Arabidopsis thaliana: one gene and its partners. The protein of the gene in region 3 interacts with the protein of the main gene of each other region in a pairwise test. Each region holds a gene or a part of one and is shown on either strand. Other genes may lie near its edges. The genes, in order: FOLK, WAT1, APRL4 and AT2G41610.

What was found.
Region 1: the proteins of APRL4 (region 3) and FOLK interact in a protein complementation assay, tested with the Arabidopsis thaliana proteins (one large-scale study listed by BioGRID).
Region 2: the proteins of APRL4 (region 3) and WAT1 interact in a protein complementation assay, tested with the Arabidopsis thaliana proteins (one large-scale study listed by BioGRID).
Region 4: the proteins of APRL4 (region 3) and AT2G41610 interact in a protein complementation assay, tested with the Arabidopsis thaliana proteins (one large-scale study listed by BioGRID).

Annotation. Positions count from the first base shown.
Region 1 is NC_003076.8:23,667,734-23,674,679, forward strand, and holds FOLK (Phosphatidate cytidylyltransferase family protein), read left to right. Parts: upstream 1-2,533; 5' UTR 2,534-2,779; coding exon 2,780-3,094; intron 3,095-3,897; coding exon 3,898-3,965; intron 3,966-4,051; coding exon 4,052-4,183; intron 4,184-4,322; coding exon 4,323-4,438; intron 4,439-4,544; coding exon 4,545-4,837; 3' UTR 4,838-5,136; downstream 5,137-6,946. Other genes in the region: EOL2 (ETO1-like 2), read right to left, coding at 1-741; AT5G58570 (uncharacterized protein), read right to left, coding at 5,137-5,397; AT5G58575 (SAGA-associated factor-like protein), read left to right, coding at 6,666-6,704, 6,871-6,946. UniProt on the Arabidopsis thaliana protein: Kinase involved in negative regulation of abscisic acid (ABA) signaling. Substrate preference is farnesol > geraniol > geranylgeraniol, but has no activity with farnesyl phosphate. Can use CTP > ATP > GTP = UTP as phosphoryl donor.
Region 2 is NC_003070.9:28,336,446-28,343,072, reverse strand, and holds WAT1 (Walls Are Thin 1), read left to right. Parts: upstream 1-2,797; 5' UTR 2,798-2,981; coding exon 2,982-3,196; intron 3,197-3,293; coding exon 3,294-3,356; intron 3,357-3,433; coding exon 3,434-3,550; intron 3,551-3,809; coding exon 3,810-4,230; intron 4,231-4,324; coding exon 4,325-4,476; intron 4,477-4,589; coding exon 4,590-4,791; 3' UTR 4,792-4,885; exon of another isoform or gene 4,886-5,291; 3' UTR 5,292-5,347; downstream 5,348-6,627. Other genes in the region: AT1G75490 (Integrase-type DNA-binding superfamily protein), read right to left, coding at 6,408-6,627. UniProt on the Arabidopsis thaliana protein: Required for secondary wall formation in fibers, especially in short days conditions. Promotes indole metabolism and transport (e.g. tryptophan, neoglucobrassicin and auxin (indole-3-acetic acid)). May prevent salicylic-acid (SA) accumulation.
Region 3 is NC_003070.9:12,746,783-12,752,824, forward strand, and holds APRL4 (APR-like 4), read right to left. Parts: upstream 3,725-6,042; 5' UTR 3,343-3,724; coding exon 3,154-3,342; intron 3,056-3,153; coding exon 2,868-3,055; intron 2,785-2,867; coding exon 2,660-2,784; intron 2,484-2,659; coding exon 2,053-2,483; 3' UTR 1,789-2,052; downstream 1-1,788. Other genes in the region: AT1G34770 (melanoma-associated antigen G1-like protein), read left to right, coding at 1-231, 318-470, 1,220-1,325, 1,423-1,537, 1,626-1,667.
Region 4 is NC_003071.7:17,344,187-17,349,567, forward strand, and holds AT2G41610 (uncharacterized protein), read left to right. Parts: upstream 1-2,970; 5' UTR 2,971-2,994; coding exon 2,995-3,927; 3' UTR 3,928-4,053; downstream 4,054-5,381. Other genes in the region: AT2G41590 (Ta11-like non-LTR retrotransposon), read left to right, coding at 1-517; AT2G41600 (Mitochondrial glycoprotein family protein), read right to left, coding at 1,411-1,582, 1,807-2,144, 2,402-2,584.

The DNA of each region.
Region 1 (6,946 bases), on a different chromosome or scaffold from region 3:
CTCAGAAGTTGTTGATTCCACGAAAGAACCATACAACATGGCCTCAAAAGGACGCGAAAGCGCTGCGATTCTCGACCTAACACACTTAGCCTTCTCTGAACCTACGCAGAAGGAAATATCGCTAACCTCATCTAGACCCGAAAACTCATCAGCCTTAGAGATTTTAACGTCATCACTACCAAATTCATCCTCACATACCGTAGAACATTCACAACCCTCGTCGTCTACATTCAAATCACAACCATGAGTCAAACTAGTCTTCGGACATTCAGAAGCAAGCCCATTACAATCCATAGATTCAACTCCCACAAGTTCATGTTCTCTCCTAAAAAATCTCAACCAAGCAGAGAAAACAACCTTACAAGGGACATCAATGGCGTGCCTCCTAGCGTTGAGAAGGCACCTACGCAAGAGCTTGGCATCACCGAGACTGCGGAGAACAGCGTACTGCTCAAGGTAGAGCATCGATGCCTCGGATTCCGAACTGGACTCGATTCTCCGATATAGATTTGATAATGACTCCACCAAATCGATAGGTTTGAGGTAAGAGTCCAAGGGAGGCTCGAGGAGGTCTGTGGTGGGAAAGCCATGAGGGAGAAGTGAACGAGATTTGGATTTGGGATGCCCAAGGAACTTCATCATTCGAGGGCTACCATTGCTGCTTGTAGAGGGAGAGTCTTGTGTAGTAAAGGCGTGGACTTGAGTGCTTTTAAATCTCTCAAAGAGTTTGAGATTGCGCATTTTGCTATATCACAGAAATCTGAGAAAAGGGTTTGATTTTGAAGTAAAGAGAGAGTGAGGGAGACGGAGAGAGCAAGAGAGAGAGAGAGAGAGAGAGAGAGAGAGAGAGAGAGAGAGAGAGAGAGTTGAAAACACAAGCTCTGTCTCCGGTGACAACACACAGTGCAGAGACAAAAAGGAGAGAGAGAGAGAGAGGAAGAAGAAGACGATGAAGTGTGATTGAGAATATAAATTATTTTTATAAAAAGGTCAATAATTTGGGGAGAAAAAAGAGTAATGGCGTCGATTTTTGCAAACCCAAAAAACATTTATATGGAAAAAAAATGGTCGAATCTCATATCTGTTTTTCTTTCTTTTATGCATTTTTTTGTGGAACAGTTTACGAACTTCAACAGTTGGTGGTTCTTATTGGGTGCGATACGAACCAGACCACTTTCCTTTCTCTTTCCTTTTTGTGTAAAGACCACTTTCCTTTTTTAAAACAATATTTTGTTTCTGTTTTTTTGGTGAGGAAATATTTTGTTTCTTTGTTAAATTGTTATTTTTTTCCATATTTGAAGATATTGGTATGGCTTTTAATTTGTGAAAATTTGGGTTTATTACAGAGTTATATGATGATTAAATATAGTTTAGAGAATTATAGATGGTTGGTTCGTTTCGGGTATAATTAAAATAAGCCTCTCTGACTATCCAACGTCATTGATTCATGTGATGCCAAGATAGGTAGGTTAACTAGTTATGTGGTTTCTTATCGGTTATCTCCTATCTAAACAATTGAGCTTAACATTAAACTTTGAAGATATTAACTTATCTCTCTAATGAACGAAAAAAATTCAGTTTTATTGGTTGATTGGTTATGATTTCAATGACTAACAAAGAAATGGTCTTTAATTTATGTACAGCATGAATTTACTCAATTTATTACATACAACATGATTTCAAAAAATTGCTTAAAATTTTGCAAAACATTTCTTTACTGTGATCACACTAATCATTTGTTAATCTGGTGTCTACTTTTTTACTCGCTAACGTGAGCGTGTATATTTATATTTTCTGAGATCTTCATAGTTTTAGGTTTTTAGCTTGTAGTTAGTTTTTTTTGTTCTCGATATTGGACCAACAACTATCAGGAAACGCATAATTTATTATATATATAAAAAACTCTCATAAAACGTACTGTATTAAAACAATAACAAATAAAAAGTGGAGAGAACTATATCCAGAACCAATTCTGATGTTCTTTTGCCCGCACACCTGGAAAACACATGCAAGTGTACTCTTTAAAGATAAACATATATACCATTTGCGAAATAATTGAGGATTTTTTTTCTTTTGCCAACAGATAAATAATATAAGATTGTTTCAGAAAAAAAATAAAGATGGATAATTGAGGATTAGGTTGGCATTATTTGATGCAAAAAATACTAAAGAAAATCTCACATTGAAATCAATTAAAATAATTTTCTTATGGTATATACAAGTTGATGCAAAATTGATAAAAGATTAAACAAGGCAAGAGACGTGTGGTCATGTGTCTCGGCAACCCATGTGAGGGAATCTGAATCACTTTTTTTTTTTTTTTTTTTATGTTTCTCGAATCTGAGTAGCACAATAATTGAATTGTGTTTCGTAACTAAATTAGGGATTTATTAATCATGAAAAATTATTTGATGAAATCAAATTGTGGTCCGTCTAGTTGACTTATACCAGCCCAAATTATTTAGCGAATATAAAGCCCAAACTAGGCCCACAATAACAAATTATGCGTTTCCTCAAACGAACACCACCATGTCATGAACCATTCTAGCCGAATCCAAATAGAACGAAACTAAAATTGCTTTAATCCATATGTGACCAGATAAAGTAAAACACTCCTTTTGGGGAAATAAATATCCACTTTTCACCATCTTTTTGGTAAACAATAAAACAAACCAAATTTTGTGTGCTTGAGCAACAACAACTACCAACCAGTTACTGTCAAAAAAAATAAATGAAAACGTAATCGAAGAAAAGGTCGTGTTTTCTAGTGTTGCAGAAAATGGCAACTACTAGTACTACTACAAAGCTCTCCGTTCTCTGCTGCTCTTTCATTTCATCTCCTCTCGTTGACTCTCCTCCTTCTCTCGCCTTCTTCTCTCCGATTCCACGATTCCTCACTGTCCGAATCGCGACTAGCTTTAGATCGAGCTCTAGGTTTCCGGCCACCAAAATCCGCAAGTCTTCACTCGCCGCCGTGATGTTTCCGGAAAATTCGGTTTTATCAGATGTCTGCGCGTTTGGAGTCACTAGCATCGTTGCGTTCTCGTGCCTCGGTTTCTGGGGAGAGATTGGCAAACGTGGCATCTTCGACCAGGTTTTCGATCATTCAATTCACTTAATTAAATTATACACGCGTCGATTTGTTGAATAACGTTTTTGGAATGTTGCTCGATTCTGCAATTTCTGGTTAAAGCAACTTTGGATTCAGAGTAATGGTAGTAGTAAGCTTTATCGAGTAATGGATGGCATTAATGGCGAGGATAATAAATCTTATTAGTTCAAGAAATTATAGAATGTGAATGGATACCTATTTTGGGGTGGAAGAACACTGCGATAAACAATGGGAAAGTAACCCCATATCTGGTAAATTAGTGGGAAAATTGCTCAGAACCCAATTTGGGGATGAAATTTTTTTGAAATTCGTGCGGTATAATCACAATCTCATCGTAACTTGAAGATTCAACCATATTTATGATATATATGAATTTTGTAGGTTTAAATGTTGCACAATTTCTTTGCTATACTTTGAAGGATTATTTCTTCGTATGAGTCAGTCTATACACATATTGGACATGGCTTGTTTTTTTTTCCTTTCTCTTATGTGTTTCTCCGCAGTGACTTGTTTTTCTTCAAGTAATTTGGTTAGGAGTAGAGGAATTATCTATGATTAGCAAAAATTCTATTAAACATTTTTGGTTTGGGAATACCTGTATGGCTTCAGCTACTTGATTTTGTTTCTCTGACCTTATCGTGATTAAGATATCATCTCAGAACCCATTGAATTTATAAGATCCACAGGCTGTCTGATGTAGGACTGACTCCACTTTCATGGTTTTATTGAATGAGGCATTGGTTTAACATCTGTGGTTGACATTGGTGTTATTTCTTATTTTTCAGAAACTCATCCGGAAGCTTGTGCATATAAATATTGGGCTAGTTTTTATGCTTTGCTGGCCGCTGTTCAGGTAATAATACGGAGTGAAAGGATCGATTTTGATGTACCAGCTTGCTTTTCTGCTTCACCAGTTTATTTCGATATCAATTGTTTCAGTTCTGGAATCCAAGGAGCACTTTTCGCATCTCTTGTACCTGGACTCAATATAGTAAGGATGCTATTGCTGGGGCTTGGAGTGTACCACGACGAAGGAACAATCAAGTCAATGAGCAGACATGGAGATCGCAGGTAGCTGAATCGAACAAGTGTCTGTCACAATATCCAACAATCTCTTAGCATTCTTGGTATCTATGATCAAAATTCGGTTTGTCTGTTTATTATTGCTTTTGTCACTTCACAAAGTGTCTGTAGTCGCTCTCTGCATCAGGGAACTACTTAAGGGGCCGCTTTACTATGTACTGTCAATCACATCAGCCTGCATCTACTATTGGAAATCATCCCCAATCGCGATTGCGGTGATATGCAACCTTTGCGCAGGAGATGGTAAGTACAGTTAGCTCTGGTTTGATCCAATAACATTAGCAACTTTTGTCTTAGGAATTTGAATCCATTGAATGATGATTCTAATACACACACTTGCTGTTAAAAGGTATGGCTGACATTGTGGGTCGGCGGTTTGGAACAGAGAAGCTTCCTTACAACAAAAACAAATCATTTGCTGGTAGCATTGGAATGGCCACCGCCGGGTTTCTAGCATCTGTTGCGTATATGTACTACTTTGCTTCATTTGGTTACATCGAGGATAGCGGGGGAATGATTCTTCGTTTCCTCGTCATCTCTATAGCATCAGCTCTTGTGGAATCACTCCCAATAAGCACCGACATTGACGACAATCTCACCATTTCCTTAACCTCTGCCTTGGCCGGATTCTTACTCTTCTAATAATACCCTCTCGTTGTTATGTATCATCAAATAAAGGGTCGAGCTTGATTGCTGATATGGAGGTAAAACTGCATTCATTGTTCCCATCTTCTTCTGTATGTACGTATTAGTGAAACATCTCATATTGTTGTTGTCCACAAATCTTATTTTTCAGCTGCAATTGCAGTTGGGTACAATGTTGTAATGTTCTATCCATTAGTGAGACATATGATGACGAACAGTGACGCTTCTACAATTTGTAACAGATACTCTTTTGTAACAGATATTCAATACATGTTTGTTTGTTATTTGGCCTATGGCTATGTGGAAATGGATTGTTTGCTTACAACAGGTGAGGGCTTGAGTGTCCCGCTCCAGGAAGCCTCTTCTGACAGGTCGGACTGGTGACTGTAACGGCGTTTCAGACAAGGAAGCAACACGAGGAACAAGAGGAAGACGGCGAAGCTGATGACAAGAACTACCGTCAAGATCTCACCATGCATGGCGTAGTGTCTGTCTCTAGTGAAAGTAAGTCGTTCGCCATCTTCAGGACTCGAGGCCTCCACCGTAGAAGTTACCATTAGAGAGGTAATCTCAAATATTCTCAAATCTCAACTCCTTTGCTCATACCTACTTCATACTGTCATGCATCATCTTGGAGGGATTTGTGTCTGTTTCTTTTTCCTCTCTGAAATATAAATTTGACTTGGGAGAATATGTATCAAATGAAAACAATATGTCACCACAGAAGAAAAGAAGAGTTTAAATATATTTCTTTGGGATAATTTAGTAGATGGATTTTTGTATAAAGGTTGGTGTAGAAAGTGAGACTGGGACGTTCGTTAGTGATTGCTCTCTACATATGGGGCGTTGGATTGGGTCTTTTTGGATCTTACGTGCGACGTCGTTTTCGTAATTTGAAGAAAATCCTTTTCGTGTGGCTCCCATAACCGACTCCGTGACTTTCCCGGAAATTTCCTCAAGAGAGAAGCGACCTTGTGTCTCATGTTAGTTGCTTCTTCTTCTGCCCTTATTTATATGAATACAAAAATTAATTACTCTTTGATTTGGCCCATTTAAAATTGCTAACTTCTTCACGCATTCTCGAAATAGAAGAAAACGTGGTATGCTTGTATTAATTGAATGGTTCTGAAAGAGACATTTTCAGAAGAAACAAAAAAGCAATTGTGCCAAACTAGAAGAAGAAGCTATAATCGAGGTGTGCTCTACTGAGATTTTGCATGGGTGCTGCAAAAAAAAAAAAGAGATTTGAATGGGCCATGAGATGGGCTTTTAATAAAAAAATCATAACAGAAATTAGATGACGTGGAGTGTCGTTTTCTTTCTATTCGAGGTGACGGTGAGAAGGAAAACCGTGTCGTTTATATGATTAAGTAAAGAAACGCTTGCCGTTTAATATTTTAGCTTGGCCTGGGTGCCGTGGCAAGTCATGATTGGTGGTTTCTTCGCCGATGTAAAATTCAACAGATCGAGAGAGAAAAAACTCTCTCTCCCTCCTCCGTTCACCGTCGCGACTCGGCTCTACAGTGTAAGCTTTCTGATTCTACGGCGATTTCGTTTCTGTATCTATGCTTGTAGACTGGGTTTGTTTTATTGGATGATTTGATTTGGAACCTGAAACAGTAAAGTTGTGAGGAATGAGTAGTAGAGTTTCCTATCACAGAAACTCCAAAACGAATCTGTTAGATAGTGATGATCGACTTTTTTGATTTCTGGAGAAATTCGCTTTTTCTAGGGCTCCTGATGGTGATGGAAATCTCTCTTTACGATTTGGTTTTGATTTTCTCGCAGACATTTTGTTGAGCAATCTCGTATTTAGAGGATTCCAATGTCTGGCGCAGAGGATAATAAATCTTCCCATGCTCAGGTATTTGTTCATTTAGTCTCATCTCATGATGAATTCAATTACTGTTTATATGCTCCACATTCTCGTTCTATGTAAAACTATTAAGATTTCTCCTCCTTGTTAAAGTAACTGCCTAGTGGAAACTAAGTTAGACTTACGTTTCTTTGCTCTTGAACTTTGCTTGCAGCTTTCGTCCCAAATTTTTCTTGATCTTGTGGATTCGGTGATAGCTGATGTAGCATCTGAGTGTCATCGGGTAGCAC
Region 2 (6,627 bases), about 16 Mb from region 3:
ATCTACCATACACATCATCGCGTAAATCAAACCCTCAAATTCTGAATGAATTAGAAGGAAAACTCATGCCAAGACCTCTGGCAAACTACGTATTTTTATTATGATGAAATAATCATTTACAAGAATTGTAGACAGATTTGGAAATCTCAGTATAGTTAATGAAGGGGTCTGCCTCGACAAATGGCATTATGGATACGGTTGAGCATACGTGTACCACTTGCACGGCCAGTTTCATCACATATATACATACTCCTTTGACCTTTCTTAAGTTTTTTTATTTATTTTAATTTAGGATTACCCCGAAACTACACCATAAAATTTGTTTTCAAAAAACGTCACAACCTTTTCTTGTAAGAAGCTTTTCTACAACTAATCTAGTAAGATTTTACAAAACTGTTTCGATTTTTTTTTAAAATGCTGATATCATTTTGAATGTCCCAAAATAATCCCTTCTTTAGGATTACTGGAAATGTTTTAACAAAATTGTTTTAGTGATAATGTTTGTAGCTAGAACTACAACTAGTTATTTATATATTTTGATAAATTTTTAATTTTGTAGGAACAATTTTCTATAAATGTAGAAAATATTTACAGAAGTATGATATTATTAGAAACAATGATTTCTTATACAATTAAAAAACATGTTTCGCTGTGTATTGAGATATTTTCTATTCAATTTTGATATGAATAGCATCTATGTCAAGAACAGAGGATACAAACTTTAGTTTAGGTTCATCGGGATAATGGTAGAATAAATATATTTTATAAAATAGAGCAATTAGATAAATTAGTGTAACGTGAAAGTATAACTAAGTTTAACTAGATGTATTAAAATGTTAAGGTAAATATCTTTGTTATTGTTCATAAAAAAAAAAGATTTTTGTAATAGAAATGGAATATAATGAAGTAATGAAAATTCCATATTGTTATATTTTGTTATGTTTTACATGTTGCTGCATATAGTTTATCTAAAACAGATTTGTGACAAAATAATATTCCATGAACAATTTTTGCCATGATATTTCTTTTGTCGTGATACATTCGTGGAAGGAAAGAAAAATACATATTTGGTTTGTTTTCACGTGGATATGCACATGTTTCTGTGTACAATTTACTAAATTGGTTTCTCTGGGTTTACATTGTCGATCTCTCCAAAAATAACAAGACAAAAAGAAAGAGAAAAATGAAAGCATATACAAGCAAGCAACCATAAAATTTTCGATGATTCTATTCTATAGGGATACAAATGTATTTGACTATTGGAAAACAATTACACACGTCTATTCGATGAGCACAAAAAAATAGAACTAAAATAAATTAACAAGAAAAATAAAACTAAAATAATTGAGGACAAATACAGATAATAATATTGGTGTAAGCGTGTACATAAATATTGATCGTGTGGGTGTGCCTGCGAAATAAGAGGTACTGTGGGTCTCACGGTTCGGCAGTGCGCGTGGGGCTCGTCCCTACAAAATTAATTATGTAACATAAATAAAATCAAGAAATATATTTACCAAAAAAGAAAGTAAATAAAAGATGTTAAAACGAAATGTCGTACATTTATAATTAAGAGTGTTATTCTCCTGAAGACTATACTGTACAAGTAATAATTAGTAGCAATGCCATGCTGCTCAATAAATATCAAAGGAAAGGACAAACTAAAACCATTATAATGTCTACGATAGTGAGTGCAAATTGAGGAATAGAGTCGTAAATAATGATATATTTTGTGCTTTTTCTATTGTTATTTTTACCTTTTTGATTTTCAGAATTAAATGATTTTAGATATACAAAAAATTAAGAATCATAATGATGGTTGCGTTAATGAGTAGTGGCGTGAGGGTTGTCATGTCAGCTAAACAGCAGAAAAATAAAAGAATGTGGGAGACAGGCTTTGCCCTTTTACACATTTTTAAGCTCTCTTCTTTATTTTCTAAAAACACTATAGTACACAGTTAAAAATTTGCGGGCCCTTTGTTTAATCGATTTAGATTTAACCAACAGCTTCATAGTCGTTTCTTCTTGTTAGAAATCAATAAATGAAAAGTTGGTTGTTTTGAAAGCATATAATTAACTAACAATGTATCATGTTGTGAAACAAAAGCTGATGATAAATGTTAAATATAGTGTCCAAAATTTTGGGAATGTCTTCAAATTTTGATTTTAAAACATATGAGATGTACCAACATCCACAAAATGTTTGTGAAGTTGTGACTTAGTGAGACGTTGTCACTTTATTATCTCGTTTTGGTAACGGTAAGTGCATGTGAACGTGTTTGATTATAAGTTTAACCCGACTTTGTTTACGTGGTCATAGTTTCCAATAAGGCTAAGTAGAATAGTGTATGATAGTTTTCAATTCAAGAGTCTTTTTTTTCCAAGAAAATCCGAAAACACAATCGTTTATTTTAATATCTCAAAAGAAATCATATTTCTTAGGTAAAACTATCATACGTTGAGTTTTTCTTTCTCCTTTTGCGATTTTCCCTGAAATATATTTATGTTGTGTGTGTGCTTTGTAAACAAAATAATAATGAACGTAATAATAGTAAAACAAAAAGTAACCTATATTATTATCATACTTGATATAACCCAATAGAGAAATAATAATATAAATTAAAATTTTATTTCCCAATTCAAAAATCATAATCAAGGAGTGAATGCTGCCAGTAGACCAAAGTAACAATATTTGGTGTGTACATCAAATGATAGGAAACAACAAAAACTCATTAATATACCTAAATCCATATATATATATATATATATATATTTCAATATTTCACATTGTTATAATTAGGTTTAATAGATACCATATTAGAAATCTCAGTATGGTGGTTCCCACAAGCAAAGAGGGGAATGAGATTGCTATCTACCTATATTTATATCTCCGCAACTTCACTCTTTTCCTCAATCAACACACACAAACACACACACACACAGCCTTTTTCCTTCGTTGATCGATTGTTAAGCTCGATCCAATGGCGGATAACACCGATAATCGGAGATCCTTATGGGGAGTTCCGGAGAAGCTTCAGCTTCACATAGCGATGCTGACGTTGCAATTCGGTTACGCCGGATTCCACGTGGTGTCTCGAGCTGCTCTTAACATGGGAATCAGCAAACTCGTCTTCCCTGTTTATCGTAACATCATCGCCTTGCTTCTTCTCCTTCCCTTCGCTTACTTCCTTGAAAAGTAACCTTCTATTTTCACTTCACTTCTTTATTTGAAAACCCTATTTTTTCTCTAGTTGCTAGTTATTTAATTACCAAACTTAATTGTGTTAATTTAGGAAGGAGAGACCAGCGATTACTCTCAACTTTCTCATCCAGTTCTTCTTTTTGGCACTCATAGGGTATATATTTATATCCTTCACTCTGATCTTTTCAATAACAAATTTGGATAATTAGTTAATGAATTATTACACGACAGAATAACAGCGAACCAAGGATTTTACTTGTTGGGACTGGACAACACTTCACCAACATTTGCTTCCTCCATGCAAAACTCTGTTCCCGCCATTACCTTTCTCATGGCTGCTCTTCTCAGGCACTTACTCTACACATCTCTCCATTTTCATTCTCTTTTGATTTATAAAAATAAATAACAATATTTTGGACAGCTTGGATATACAAGAACCACTTTAATAATGTCCATTTGACTTTTCAACGTAAAAGAAACGGATAATAATACACGTAGACAATATTTAATGCCGTTTCCATTTGCTTACAAAATAGTGATAATCATAGTAGTAACAACAATGTAACATACTGTTTATGTACTGTATGTGAAAAAAACAATAATTCAGGATTGAGAAAGTAAGAATAAACAGAAGAGACGGTATCTCCAAAATCTTAGGAACAGCTCTTTGTGTCGCCGGAGCTTCCGTCATCACCCTCTATAAAGGTCCAACCATCTACACTCCGGCTAGCCACCTCCACGCTCATCTACTCACCACAAACTCCGCCGTCTTAGCGCCGCTAGGAAACGCCGCGCCTAAAAACTGGACCCTTGGTTGCATCTACCTAATCGGTCACTGTCTCTCGTGGTCAGGCTGGCTTGTTTTCCAAGCTCCGGTTCTTAAGTCTTATCCAGCGAGGCTCTCGGTTACGTCTTACACTTGTTTCTTCGGAATCATTCAGTTCTTGATCATTGCTGCTTTCTGTGAAAGAGATTCTCAGGCTTGGGTTTTTCACTCCGGTTGGGAGCTTTTCACCATCCTCTACGCCGTTAGTTTTTCTTTCATCTGTTATAATTAATTCGTTTTTGGCCCTAATGTTTCAAAATAATCAATTTGGTCCTAATGAATTGATTTAACTTCAGGGAATCGTAGCGTCTGGAATCGCGTTTGCGGTTCAGATTTGGTGTATTGACAGAGGGGGTCCAGTCTTCGTTGCTGTTTACCAGCCTGTTCAGACTCTTGTCGTTGCGATCATGGCTTCTATTGCGTTAGGCGAAGAATTTTATTTGGGCGGGTATGAAACTATAATAATATTAGTGGTTTATATAAATACTTGATAAAATCCAAGGTCCTAAACAAGAATAATTTTAAAATTTGTTGTGCCACATGTCATATTTCTAATGGCAGGATTATTGGAGCGGTCTTGATCATAGCGGGACTTTACTTCGTATTGTACGGTAAGAGCGAAGAGAGGAAATTTGCAGCGCTTGAGAAGGCAGCGATCCAGTCCTCCGCGGAGCATGGTATTGAACGTGCACCTGTTTCTCGCAACTCCATCAAGTCGTCCATCACAACACCACTACTCCATCAGTCAACGGACAATGTTTGACTACTTTGGACAAATCACTCTCCAGCTAATAATTACAAATGCCATTACCCAATTAAAAGGGAACAATGGTGTGCCGTTGTGTTTTATGACTTTTGTGTCTGCTTTTTTTCTTAGTGTTTTCTCTTCTTTTTTTTTTCTAAAAAATTATTAATTACCTAAGAAAGGTTTTTGAAGAAAGGAAAAAAAATGGTGGATGAGACATCATTGTTCATGAGGATGATGATGATGATGATAGTGATGAAGAAGACTATGTGGGAGCTTTGGATTGAGACTTTTCTATATATAATATCTGGCTGATATATTAGTGCCATTTTTTCTTACATTTCTTGTGGGGTTTTTCTTTCCTTTATCATCAATAGAATGTTATAATTTGCATTTATGATCTTTAGTAATTATCACTGTCGGGGATGTTTAAAATGGATTAGATCAAACGCTTTGTTCTGAACTGAAGTAAAAAAAGATCTTTAGTATTTGATTAAAATGATCTCTTAAAGAAACAGTTTTTTTTTACAAATTTAGTTTATTATCAAATATCCAATAAAAATTCTTAACCGAATGAACAAGTTAAAAATAAACCAACATTTAATATATATAATATAATATGGACCAACTAAGTTATAGTATGGACCAATTCTTGAGTTGAAAGTCCATAGATTTTAACATGGTATTAAAGTTTAGCTAACTTGAGAAAGATGTGTTGTTCGATATATAATTTTTGGTCCAATATTAGAATTTTGTTTGAAATAGACGGATAAAAGCATTATTTTAAGGAGAACGTGTTAAAAATTTCACATATACACTTCAATGCTCTACATTATCTTTCTTGGTTTTCTCGGATCAGCTTACACGTCAGCTTTTTACATATAAAATATCATCTTTTAATTTGATGTAAACAAGAAGTTCATTAACAGAATTTCATATCTTATTTACCTTATACAAATAAATTTCATTAACAAAAGAAATTCATATACATAAGGAAAAACACAGTGCATAAGCGACTTTGTCTCATAATCGTTATCTGGCATAGGTTAGTCTACCATGTGGATTCAAGATTTCGTATTTGAATCCATTAGTTAAATCATATATAGCCCGTTATTGGAGACTGGAGACCATATATAAGCCGAGATATAATGATGTTGGGCCGGAATAAACGGGCCAGGTTTGTTATAAACCACGCCATATAGTCTATCAAGACTCGCGAGGATTACACGTTAGTACAAAGAGAAGCTAAGAAGAAGATGCAAAGAAAACCAAGAGAATAGTCAAAGACTTAAAAGCCCATAGAAACAGAGACATATAATAGTTACACATTGACCGTTACACACAACGTAACATCCCGTTTTCTTTATACAGATACATTGCACTTGATTTAATAGTTTTCCCCATGACACATTTTTAGCTTCGAGACAAACAACTGTCGTTTTTATGTTTTTTTTGATATGGTAAGAATCTGCTTTCACACTATACAGACAAACCACATATATAGATGTGCACATATATAAGTACATGTAACTGGTGTTTATTTACATATATATCCTAGTTCACGGTGACTATATTTGTATATATATGTAGTTTGTATATGATAACTTAACAATTAAAGAGAGTCTAGTGACACCTCAAAGTGGGGAATGAAAGGAATCCCAATTAGAATAGCCACCGGAAATACAAGTATCAAACCGAGAAATATCATTATCTCCTTCATGAACCCATGGAAATCCTAACGACATTGTAGCTTCTTCCCATATTGAAGAATCATCCATTACCGGCAAATCCACGTTTATATGCTCCCATGATATCTCCTCTGTCACTCTTCCACATGATGACATCTCGTTGGAT
Region 3 (6,042 bases):
CAGAGGTGATTAGATTCATACTGTTCAAGTTTCACCAAAGCTCAGGAACTCCAATTAAAAGAGAAGATTTGACTCAGATTGTTACTAAGAACTATCGTCAACGAAATCTCGCTACACACGTGATTAACGAAGCGAAGAAGAAGCTCTCTAATGTCTTTGGTTATGATTTGAAAGAACTTCAACGTGCTCGTTCTTCTTCTACTGGTCAATCTAGGCTTCCTCAGTCACAGAGTAAGATTTTGGCATTTGTTTATTAAGAAGCGGCTGCACCGCGTCTCGGCGATATAGCTAAATGTTTGTTTTCGTTCAATTTTTAGGTTCTGTTGACTCGAAATCGTATGTGCTTGTTAGTGAATTGCCGTTGGAAGTGTTTAAGAAACATGTTGTGGATGAAACCACGAGTCCTGTGACTGGCTTTACGTTTGTGGTTCTTGCCATTGTGCAGCTTGCAGGTGGTAAAATCCCTGAAGGTATGCTGTTACTCGGTCTCTTACGACGATCTTTTTTATGGTTTCGATGTAATGTTCTATGCAAAGTGGTAGAGTGGAAGTCAAAAGTACATTATAGAGATTTGTTTAAGAACCTAAAGTTGTAGTTAGAGAGCAAAGTTGTAGAGTAGAAGTCAAAAGTACATTAATTCGATCTCTTACGATCTTTTTTGGTTTCGGTGTAGTGTTCTCACAATTCTGGGAATCATAGTTAGAGAGCAAAGTTGTAGAGTGGTAGTCACAAGTACATAATATAGATTTGTTTAAGAACCTAAAGTTGTAGAGTGGAAGTCAAAAGTACATTAATTCGATCTCGTACGATCTTTTTTGGTTTCGGTGTAGTGTTCTCATAGTTCTGGGAATCATAGTTAGAGAGCAAAGTTGTAAAGTGGAAGTCAAAAGTACATTATATAGATTTGTTTAAGAACCTAAAGTTGTAGTTAGATAGCAAAGTTGTAGAGTGGAAGTCAAAAGTACATTAATTCGATCTCTTACGATCTTTTTTGGTTTCGATGTAGTGTTCTCACAGTTCTGGGAATCATAGTTAGAGAGCAAAGTTGTAGAGTGGAAGTCAAAAGTACATTATGTAGATTTGTTTCAGATCCTAAAGTCTCTATGATGAATTAGTTTTTAGAGTGAAATCAAGAGTATATGATAGTCACACACTTGATTTAAGAATTTGTTTGTTGACGTCTTTTTTCTTGCATCTATATGTTTCTCAACATCCTTAGAAACCCTTTGGCATCATTTGAAGCGAATGGGATTGCATGAAAATGATGAGCATAATCCTGTGTTTGGGAACAACAAGCAGACCCTGGAGACATTAGTCCAACAAAGGTGAGACCTTTCGTTAACCTTGTGCATAACTCTGCAAGGAATAAACGACTGAGGTGGTTTTCATAGTTCTTCTCAAAAGGTTTCGTCCTTTTTACAGGTTCTTGCAGAAGGAGAAAGTAAGTGGCCCTGAGGGTAGTACTTTGTTTTACGATCTTGCAGAGAGAGCGCTAGATCCTCAAGTTAGCGAGAAAGTAAAAGATTACATTTCACAGGTACTACATAAAGAACATACTTCTTCTTTGTTGATTTTAATCATCTATTTTCAGCTTTGACTAAGATTTGGTATTATGTGAAATGCAGATCCTTAAGAATGATGTAGCAGTTGTAGAGCTTAATGATTAGAGGAAGATTTGGCCTTAGAGACTTAACCAAACAGATTGGTGCATGTCTTTGACTCATGTATTTTGTAAAATTGCCTTGATTATGCAATGTGAGATGTGAAGTTTCTTGAGAAAACAAGATAAGCAATAGACCAATTCTGATATAATATTGACAAAAAAATATGAATTTGACTTTTATAATTTTGCCATCTGATGACATATACACTTCTACTACAAAATGTTCAGCTATGAATTAAGCCCTCTCCAAAGTTGTTGGTCTAGAGGAACACTGCTGATTATACAGGACAAAGGGTAAAACTTTAACCTGAAAAGCTGTAACAGAAACATGATACAGCCAAACACATTTTAGCTGTGACCATATTTGCTAAAATTATAGAATTATGAAGTCACTGAGAAGATGAACTTCTTCTGTTTGATGAGCTTGAATCCCCAATTGAGACAGTGGCCAAAGACTTAGAGGCCCATGCTCTAGCGTTCATAGCCCCTCCCTGCAGATTGCTTCTTCTATGCATGCATAATTGTACAGCTCGGCTTAGAAACCCGACGGTATGTTCTAGCAGGCTTTCTAGTCTCATGTTCTGAGCAATCCGTCTCCAAGTGAACTTCATAAACACGACGAGTGTAGGATATATCAAGTGAAGCAATCTCAACAGGACGAATACAATGGCAAGAGCTAGATAGGTCTCTTGTCGAAGCATATTCTCAGGCGATCTTGCCCACGTGAATGGACAGTTTTCTGGCTCTGTGTTGTTTTCGTTACCGAGATGAGGAACTGATACGCTTCTCTCGAGAGAAGTTTTATCCAATGTCTCAATGCCTACAATCTCATAACATTCCTTGTTAGTTCCACTAGTTGAGCTATTGATCATAAACAACTACTACCATCACACAAAACCAACTCTTTAGTATCTACTAAATGCCTAACCTCACTACAAAAACACTATCCACATCAGGGTAAATACAGAACAGAAGACTAGATATATGAAGCCTTACCGGTAACATCACTGTAGAAAGCAACAAGAGAATCAAGCATTCGGGTTCCTCGGTATCGTGCCCGCATTGTCGAATTCAAAAGTAAGAGAGTGGGAAACCCATGAACTCCATACTTGGAAAGGGTGCTGCAGCACAACAAATAACCAAAAGATCATCACCAAAACAGAACCAAAAGGAATTCGTTTGAGACCAGTTTAAAGATTATCACCTAGGCTTAATGGATGATTCCTTAATGGCAAAATGAGGAATGGAGGAATAGAGAGAAGAGATAACATCGAAACTCGGTCTAAATGACCTTGAGAATGGACACCATGATGCATAGAAAAGCAAAGCCACATAATCACACTTGTTCTTATGAATCATATCCAATGCTATTTGCAACCAACGCTCATCACCCTTCACCAACATTTGATGACATTCATAAGAAACGAAAGATAGATTCTTTATCAAGCAGAAACCCTAGAAATTGAAATCCGAGCTCTAATTTAAATTACCTCGGTGACAGCAACAAAACGAGGACGCTCGTCTGATTCAACACCAGAAACAGAACAAGTCTGATCTCGAAGCCCAAAGATTGAATCTTTAGCAGATTTCGTAGCACAAAACGGAACCCTAACGGCGTCGACGTCGGCAACGGTTAAAAACATGATGACCAATAGCAACAACAAGATCTCCTTCTCCATTAAAAAATACCCAGAAGCTCTCTCTCTCTCTATCTCTATTTCTCTCCCTACGAAATTCACAGAACCCAGAATAGAAATTTGTTGTTGTTGCCGACAAATTGGAAACAGGTGAGAGGTTGATGTTTCTGGGAATTGAATCAATGATGTTTCTTTACTGAAGAGATATTTATGCAGCGGTAATGGAATCTGTTATTTGAGGGAGATATTGAAGAAGAAGAAGAGGTTGTGGTTGCTGCTGGGTACTGGGTTATTGCTCGTAGGAACAAAGCAATTAAGCAAAAAAAAAAAATCTTACAAAGTCATGACAAAATTAGAAAAAAAAAAAAATCTAAACCAGAATTTTTAATAAACCGGAGTTTTTTTTTAGTAAACTCAGAATTTTTGCTTCAATACGATTTTGATTTCGATTTTGGTTTAGGTCTTTTCTTTATAAAAAATATTACTATATGAACAACTAATATTTGGATATTTCAACACGTGGGAAGAAAGAGTATTATTGACTACTAGTGTTTCTTTAATTAAAAATTATATTGTTTACTCAATACAGTTAATTGTTATTTGAGATTGTTTTTTTTTTTATGTTTTTATTAATATGAGCATTGAAACATATTAAGTTATCGACACTGTTTATATTTGACCATAATGGTCTTAATAAATTAGCATTATAAACACAATTCGGTTGGTTCCTTATGCACAATACGATAATATCTCTCCCTTTTGCAGAGTTCAAGTCTTCTTCAATACAGTTTTTCCGCAAAGTCTTTATATACAGTTTTTTTTCCCACCATATCATGCTTTGTTTTTATTTCCCAATGAAAGAGTAATTCTTGTATACAATTTGTTGATGTGGTGATTGTCTAAGTCCTGAAGTGTACTTAGAGTTGGAATCCTCTCAAGGTAGAAGAAAAACATCAAGTGAATATATGTTTCAATGTACCTTCGATGTTTTGTAGTCACATTTTTACCATGTAATAATTAGAAATGTTTATTTTAGAATATAAGTAAAGAAAACAGAGCATCAAGAGCATTTTTTTTTTTGTCGAAAATTCTGGTTTTCATTAAATGTTAAACCGGTACAGAATTGATTGCGAGTAAAGCAGCTTTAGCAGCTGCATCTGCCTTACGATTGTTTTCTCTCTTGACAAAATGAAAGCTAATATCAGCGAAACTGAGAGAGATAAAAAGGATGTCATGTAGAATCCCTTGAAGCTCCTTTGGATGAAGCTCCCCCACGATTGCTTCGACAAGCTGCTGCGAGTCAGAAGCTACAACAAGTTTTTTGAATCCTCGATTTGACGCCTGTTGGATGGCAGAGAAGAGAGCGATCGCCTTCGCCATTAAAGGGGAAGATACCTCTCTCGCCACTGCGTGATCCTGGATCTCAGAGTGATTTGAGTTATCTACAAAAATCCATCCCAATCCCGCATCATGTGAATCCTCTCGCCACGCTGCATCTGTGAAACACAAGATTGCATCCGATTCAAATTCCGGCACAATTGGTCTTGAAAGCAGAGTCTGGTGTCCCTGAGGTAAAGGCTGAGCCAATAACCATTCTTTTGCAGCCGAAATTGCTTGAGATATGACATCCCGACTAGATAGATGTTTCTACTCAAATATTTTCTTGTTTCTGCAGGTCCAGATTGTCCAAATAATCCAGGGGAAAAGAGGGTTTGAGCCAATTTCCACCAGTGGTAAGCAAATCAGATGTTTAGCCGCTTCAAAACCCATCTGAAGATTGGTAAAAGTGAAGGTCGAAAGGGTATTTTTGAATGGGGCTTGCTCCCAGATCTGTGCAGCAAATAGACAAAGGAAAAACAGATGAAGACCTGATTCCTCTGCACTACAATGTGGGCAAGCAGTTGTAGGGTTGATGCCTCGAGCTTTCAAGTTGGCACCTAGGGGTAAAGCATTCTTCAATACTTTCAATAAGAGAAACTTAATTTTCGGGGAGCATTTCTTTTTCCATATCTCTGAGTTCCAATTGAGGTCACAGGTTGAGGTGGAACTTGTGTATGAAGATTCCGCAAAGTCTTAGCTGCGTAGTAGCCTGTTTTGGTGCTATAATCACCAGATTTCGTGGGAAGCCAGATAAATTTATCCCTAGCAACAAACCTACTTGGTCTGAACTGAAAGATCTCTGATTGGTATTGAGGGAGGTAAGTTGCAATCTTTTCTCTATTCCAAGACTTGGAAATAGGACATATTAAGTCCTTAACAGTCATGAGTTGTGTCTCTTGAGTAGGAGGACCCATTGGGGTTACGGATGATGAGAGAGAGATCCATGGTGCATTCCAAACCAGGGTATCAGCTCCAGAACCAATCGATCTTCCTAGTTGGGACTAGCATCAAGAGCATAGATTTATAAAACTAGACATGAATCCGAAACGGAAGTGTTTAAACAAAACATATTGATCACTTCGTGGCTTTTCAAACAAATTAAAATTGTTACAGAATCTTAGATTGATTAATAAAAAAAGTGAGAGGATTACCAATACTGAAGTAGAGTCATAATTGTAAAGAAATCGATGAAGCTGTATGTGTGAAAAAATTAGTTCGTTCATGCTCAAAGGTCTAAATAAAAAAGACACATACCTTGACACTAATTTCCAACGATGTATTTTACTTGTGAGAATAATTTTGTTATTTCAGCAATACTAAAGACACAAAAGAAGACATATTAAGAAGATTGTGTAACATTTT
Region 4 (5,381 bases), on a different chromosome or scaffold from region 3:
TCAGTATGAACGTCTCCGGAGAATCTGCAGTAGCTGCTTCAGATTCACTCACAACAGAGCTTATTGTCCATACCGACCAAGACCTCTCAGCATTGCAAGGGAAAGAGCTCTGTTTAGGGATAGTGTGCATCGTTCCTCCATGAACTCTCAGTCTCAGATGACTGATAGTTCATTTCCAATTCCCCAGACTCCACCACCAAGAATATCCCACCCACCACTGAATCATGATGAGTTTGTAGCTGCTTATCCTCACTTGGACTCAGGTAGGAATGACCACATCAGATGTGAGGGAGAATCAAGCAATTTCAGACAAGACTTGTCTTCAGCTTCAAACTCCATAACTCCAAGAAGGGAACCACAATACCTAACTGATAGAAGACACTTTGAACCTGGTCAATCCTCAAGAAGACATGATGTTCGGGATTTAAGAAGAGGGTCAGAGAGGATTGGGAATCTCAATCAACAGAACTATGTGCAAAGATCAGGAGGGATACTGAAACCTCCGAAGAAACGCTAAACACTCTACCAACTTCTGTTTTTTTTGGATTGAAGTCTGCAGGTTAACAAGGAAGCAGCTTCAAGATACTCCTTTTGGATTGAAGACTGCAGGTCAACAAGAAAAGCAGCTTCAAGATATAATAGATGAGTATGGTTTTTGGTTAGGACATACTCCTACTTATCTTTAAATTCAGCATTGTCTTAGTTTATGTTTCAGTTTGGAATAGGCTTGTTGCCTTTTATGTTTAAGTGGAAAGTCCACTGATCAACTTTTTGTAAGAACTTAAAATGTTATCAATGAAAAGATATCAGTTCAGAGAGAAAAAAAAAAAAAAAGATACCTCAAGATCTATGCTTTTTTTATCGTTTTCCTATGATGTTATGTCACGTTAACACTATAGTATTCACACAATAACTGATTTATCTTTTCCAGAATAATTTTACTAACATAAGTTCTTTTTAGTGTTAAGTGATGCTTGCTTGACGCTGCGTGCTCCGAATTTTTGTTCTCTCTCATTTGCCTTTTTTTTGTTCGTAAATTTTTTTTTATTGCATTTTCTCACTTTTTAGTCCTTTCGGAGAAAGATCAAAAGACATTATAGGTCAAGTATTGATTTACAAAGATAAATACATGAATGAGGGTGGTTATGTAGATGTCGATTACTACTCACTATCTCATGACTAATCATCTTGAAAGATCAAAGATCAAACCAAGCTTGCTTGAAAATTCAAAAGCATACGATTTGGGGTCCCATTTGTTGGAAATATTACAGTTAACATGTATTCGTCGATACATCTTCCCTCAAAACATCCATTGCAAGGACTCTCTTAGCTAATAATACTACTCCTAAGGCATTTTACCATTGTTCCAAAAACAAAACTTGAAAAGAAATGAGCTTATGGAGTAAACACTCACGGCTTTGGAGAATGTGACATAGTTGATTCAAGCCTGCGTAACCAGTTAACGTATTGATCCTGCTCCTTCTTGTTCAGGTGACACAAAAGGAAATTAGTTAAGCCTTCACTGACCCCCTTAGATATTAGGTATTGCTCCAGTGCACTGTGTAGTTTGGGATCTACTTGGCTAAAGAAACAAAGAAAATAACACTGGTCATTGAAATCAAACATATGCAGACACATGAACCTCTAATAGTCTACTTCTTTTTCAATATATATAGAACAATTACTCCAGGGAAAGAACAATGGGAAGTGTACCCAATGCTTTGAGGTTTGGATGAAGTAAAACAGATATGATTCAAGTAACTTAAACAAAATGTTGAGAGATTATCATTTATGAGCTTACTTCACCTGAAAAAATGGTCTCCATAAGTGGAAGAAGGAGCAGAAACAAAAGAGCGGATAAAGTAGGCGCTCTCGATGTCGAAATGAGAAGATCCAGATCCTGATTCGTAAACCCGGCAATGAAACTGCAAGATAGAGCTGAGACCAGGCTTTTTGATACAAACTTTGGCATGAGCTTCCCTAGGAAACACTAAATCATCTTCTAGTTCTATAGGTTCTGGTTGCAATAAAGCAGAGACCACAACCTTCTCGCCTGAATCAAACTGTCTCTTCAGAACAATATCTTGGCTTTCCGGTGAATCCCAATCCAATTTGAAATCTCCTAGAGAACCGGTCTCAACGCCCTGTGGGGTTCAAGCACAAAGCAAAATCATAAAGGTAGAATGTAAGTACTTAAAATCCTAGGGTTTATGAGATCCAACATCAAATTCAAATTCGCCCATCTGGTAAATCACTCTAATGTTCATCAATTCAGAAAAATGAAATTGAAACTGACAGAGTCTGATCGAACTAATGTTGAGCACCATTGATCTTAAAACTCAATTGAGAGATTACTGAGAGCAACGAAGAAGAAGAAGGAAAGAGGAAGACAACAATTTACCTGGAAACGAGGATGGGAGATTTCGTGACGAATTTCACTTTGGAGGATCTTCAACAAATCACCATTTTCAATAGCCTTCAAGCCTCGTTTCAGAAGCGGATTCAACTTCCTCATCTCTCTCTTTTCCCTAAAATTGGCTTCTCTCAATCTACGGAGCACAAAAACTAAAGTAGACTGAATCATGATCCGGTTCGGTTTAATTCGGTTTATTTCCGTAGCAATTTCAGTAGACCGGAATTTAAACGGTTAAACCGAATTCTCAGTTACGTAATCATGCAATTTAACAATTACACAGAACCAATCAATCATCAGCTGCACACCAAACTTTTATTTCCCTTGAAGATCAAGGCTTCTCTCAATACATAGTTTCATTCAAAGGGTGATTTTTTGTATTAATAAACAAAAAATGAAGATAGAATTCAGATTTCAGATAGAGTTTCATTATCCATTTTAGTTCAAGCATCTATAACCAGACAATGAAAGAGAATCAACCATATGATGATGTCACGTCACACACACTCCTTATAAACTATATGTGTAGCTTCTAAGGAAACCAAAAACATATAGATCAAAACAAAAAAAACAAACAAATTATGAATTCAGAATGGGAAATGGATTCTGATAGAAAGAAAACATTTTTCAAATGCACAAAGTGGCAATTCGAGGACACACTTGATCCTATTAACTGTCCTTTCCACTATTTCTGCGACAGCATCTATGCCGGCGACTACCCTCAAATCACCGACGTTCTAGTTTTCTTCTTCGTTACGGTTACTTATTTGACGACGCTAATTGTTGTCGTAAGGAAGGTAATATCAAGAAGAAGAAGAGAAAATGATGATGATGGTGATGATGACAAAGCAAGAAGGTACTTACTTCCTTCTGGTCCAATCTCTCTTCCTTTGATCATCTTGATTCTTGCAAAAGGTCAAAGGATCAATACCCTTTTCCCAATTTCCATCTTTGGACCTGCGATACTACAGCTTGTTCAGCTCTCAGTGCTTTTATTTGAGAACAATATCGAAAAAGAAGCGAGTTTTGTCTTCTTCGAAGCCTCTACTATCTCTGGTATTCTCCACGCTAGTCTTTACTTAGACGCTGTGATTCTCCCCTATTATACAGGATTCGATGCTCTGGTCACATCTACTTTCTCTGGAGTCTGCAAGTCTTGTATATGCAGGAAAGAGCCATTAATAGTGGGAGGGAAGATTGTCTCTTACCGAGGATGGTCTAGTACAACGTTCTTGGTGGTTGGTGTTTTGTTTTTGAGGATTATATGCAAGTTATGCAAAGAAGAAGGAATAAATAAAAGAGTTTTGGTGGTTAAAAATGTTGTGCAAGGACTGACATTGCTTGTTCTTATAAGAGATTGTGTGTACTTGGCCGTTATGTCTCCTGTTGAAGAGCCTATCTTGTTTAGGGTTTTTGTGTTTGGTTTTCTTCTTCTGTTGATATGTGTTTATGTAATCACAAAAGTATGTTGTTTGGTTAGTCGGAGACAGAGTAAGAAGACATCAGACACATGAAATTTGAAACAAAAAGGAAAAATCAGAGGCAAGATGAAGTAAATGTAAATGATTGCTTAATGATGAGTTTATATTGGATGTGATGATGAAATGGTAAAACTTAAACATTACTTCTATATCTATTTATATTTATCCTTATTGTAAATAGTTAAATCAAAACAGTGAGAAGTAGTAGTGTCAAGATGACGCAAGATAGTGGTTACAGTTTTAAACAAGAAGAAATAGAAAAGTGGTGTAACACTTGCTAATTTGCTAGATATTCCATTAGGAAATTGCTTTTGAAAGCCTTCTGAGTTGGTTCATCACTTTACCCGAACAAAAAAATGACTTTTTACTTCTACTAGGCATAAATAAGTCTTGGCTTTTTAATTCAATATATTGGTTATGTTAATGTTGAACAAGATTATATTACAGCTAGTATATATACTGCGATGCAATGTTAAATTTTAGATTTAAACTTTGTTAAAGAAGATTAACCTTAAGAAAATAAAATTCCTAGATTTATAAATATATGACTAACCATACATACATACATATTCAAGTTCAGAAGTCATAGAATTATATCAATAATTAGGTGGTACCACTGTACTATCTTGTATTGTTATTTGTAGCATTGGATAGTTTTACGAAGTTTGTACTTATACATAATGATTAATGAGATCGTCGATCTCTGGTATGCTATTCCGATGACTAATTTATCCCCAAGAACCTACGAACAGAGATTATTGTTACATGAGTTCTCATTGATCATGGGTGTACTTTTATTGATATTAATTGATGAGATTCTAGATCGAACCTCACTTAAACATAAAACATACGAGAAGAAGAGATTCGTGATCCGTAGTAGCTCTGCTTATTCAGATATGACCACACCAATAGAGATGATAAGGACCCAAAAGCATGTACTTACCGAATTACTATGGCTATTGTAAACTTATGCTTAAATCCACGTAGAATTCAACCATAAGCCGGCGTAAAGTAGGTTTAGGTAAACTATAAATGATTAGTCTAAATTTTTAATTTTTTTTTTGTCAATCAATGATTAGTCTACATAAAAAAATATTTCTAGCCCTAACAATTTGCTCAAACACTAATAATATATAGAAGGTTTTGTTAATCAAGTACGCAAGTGAATTTTTGTGCGAAATTAGTTTTTATTTTATTATTATGATTTATACCAGAAACAACTTTATAAGCAAAAATGCACTCAAAGTACTTCACCGAGAGTATGGTGAAGGATCTAGTAAGAAGAGCACTAAGAGAAATTTATATTGGTGTGATATGGAGAGTCTGGATTCTCCTGATAGGGTATTAGTAGTTGATACCGCCTTGGTTTGGTCTATGTACACCGAGTTTGTTCAGTTCTTTCTATATATGAAACCTCAACCCTAGGCACATGTCCCAAAATCTGTATAGGATGGAGCTGAACATACTCGGTGTACATAAACCAAGCC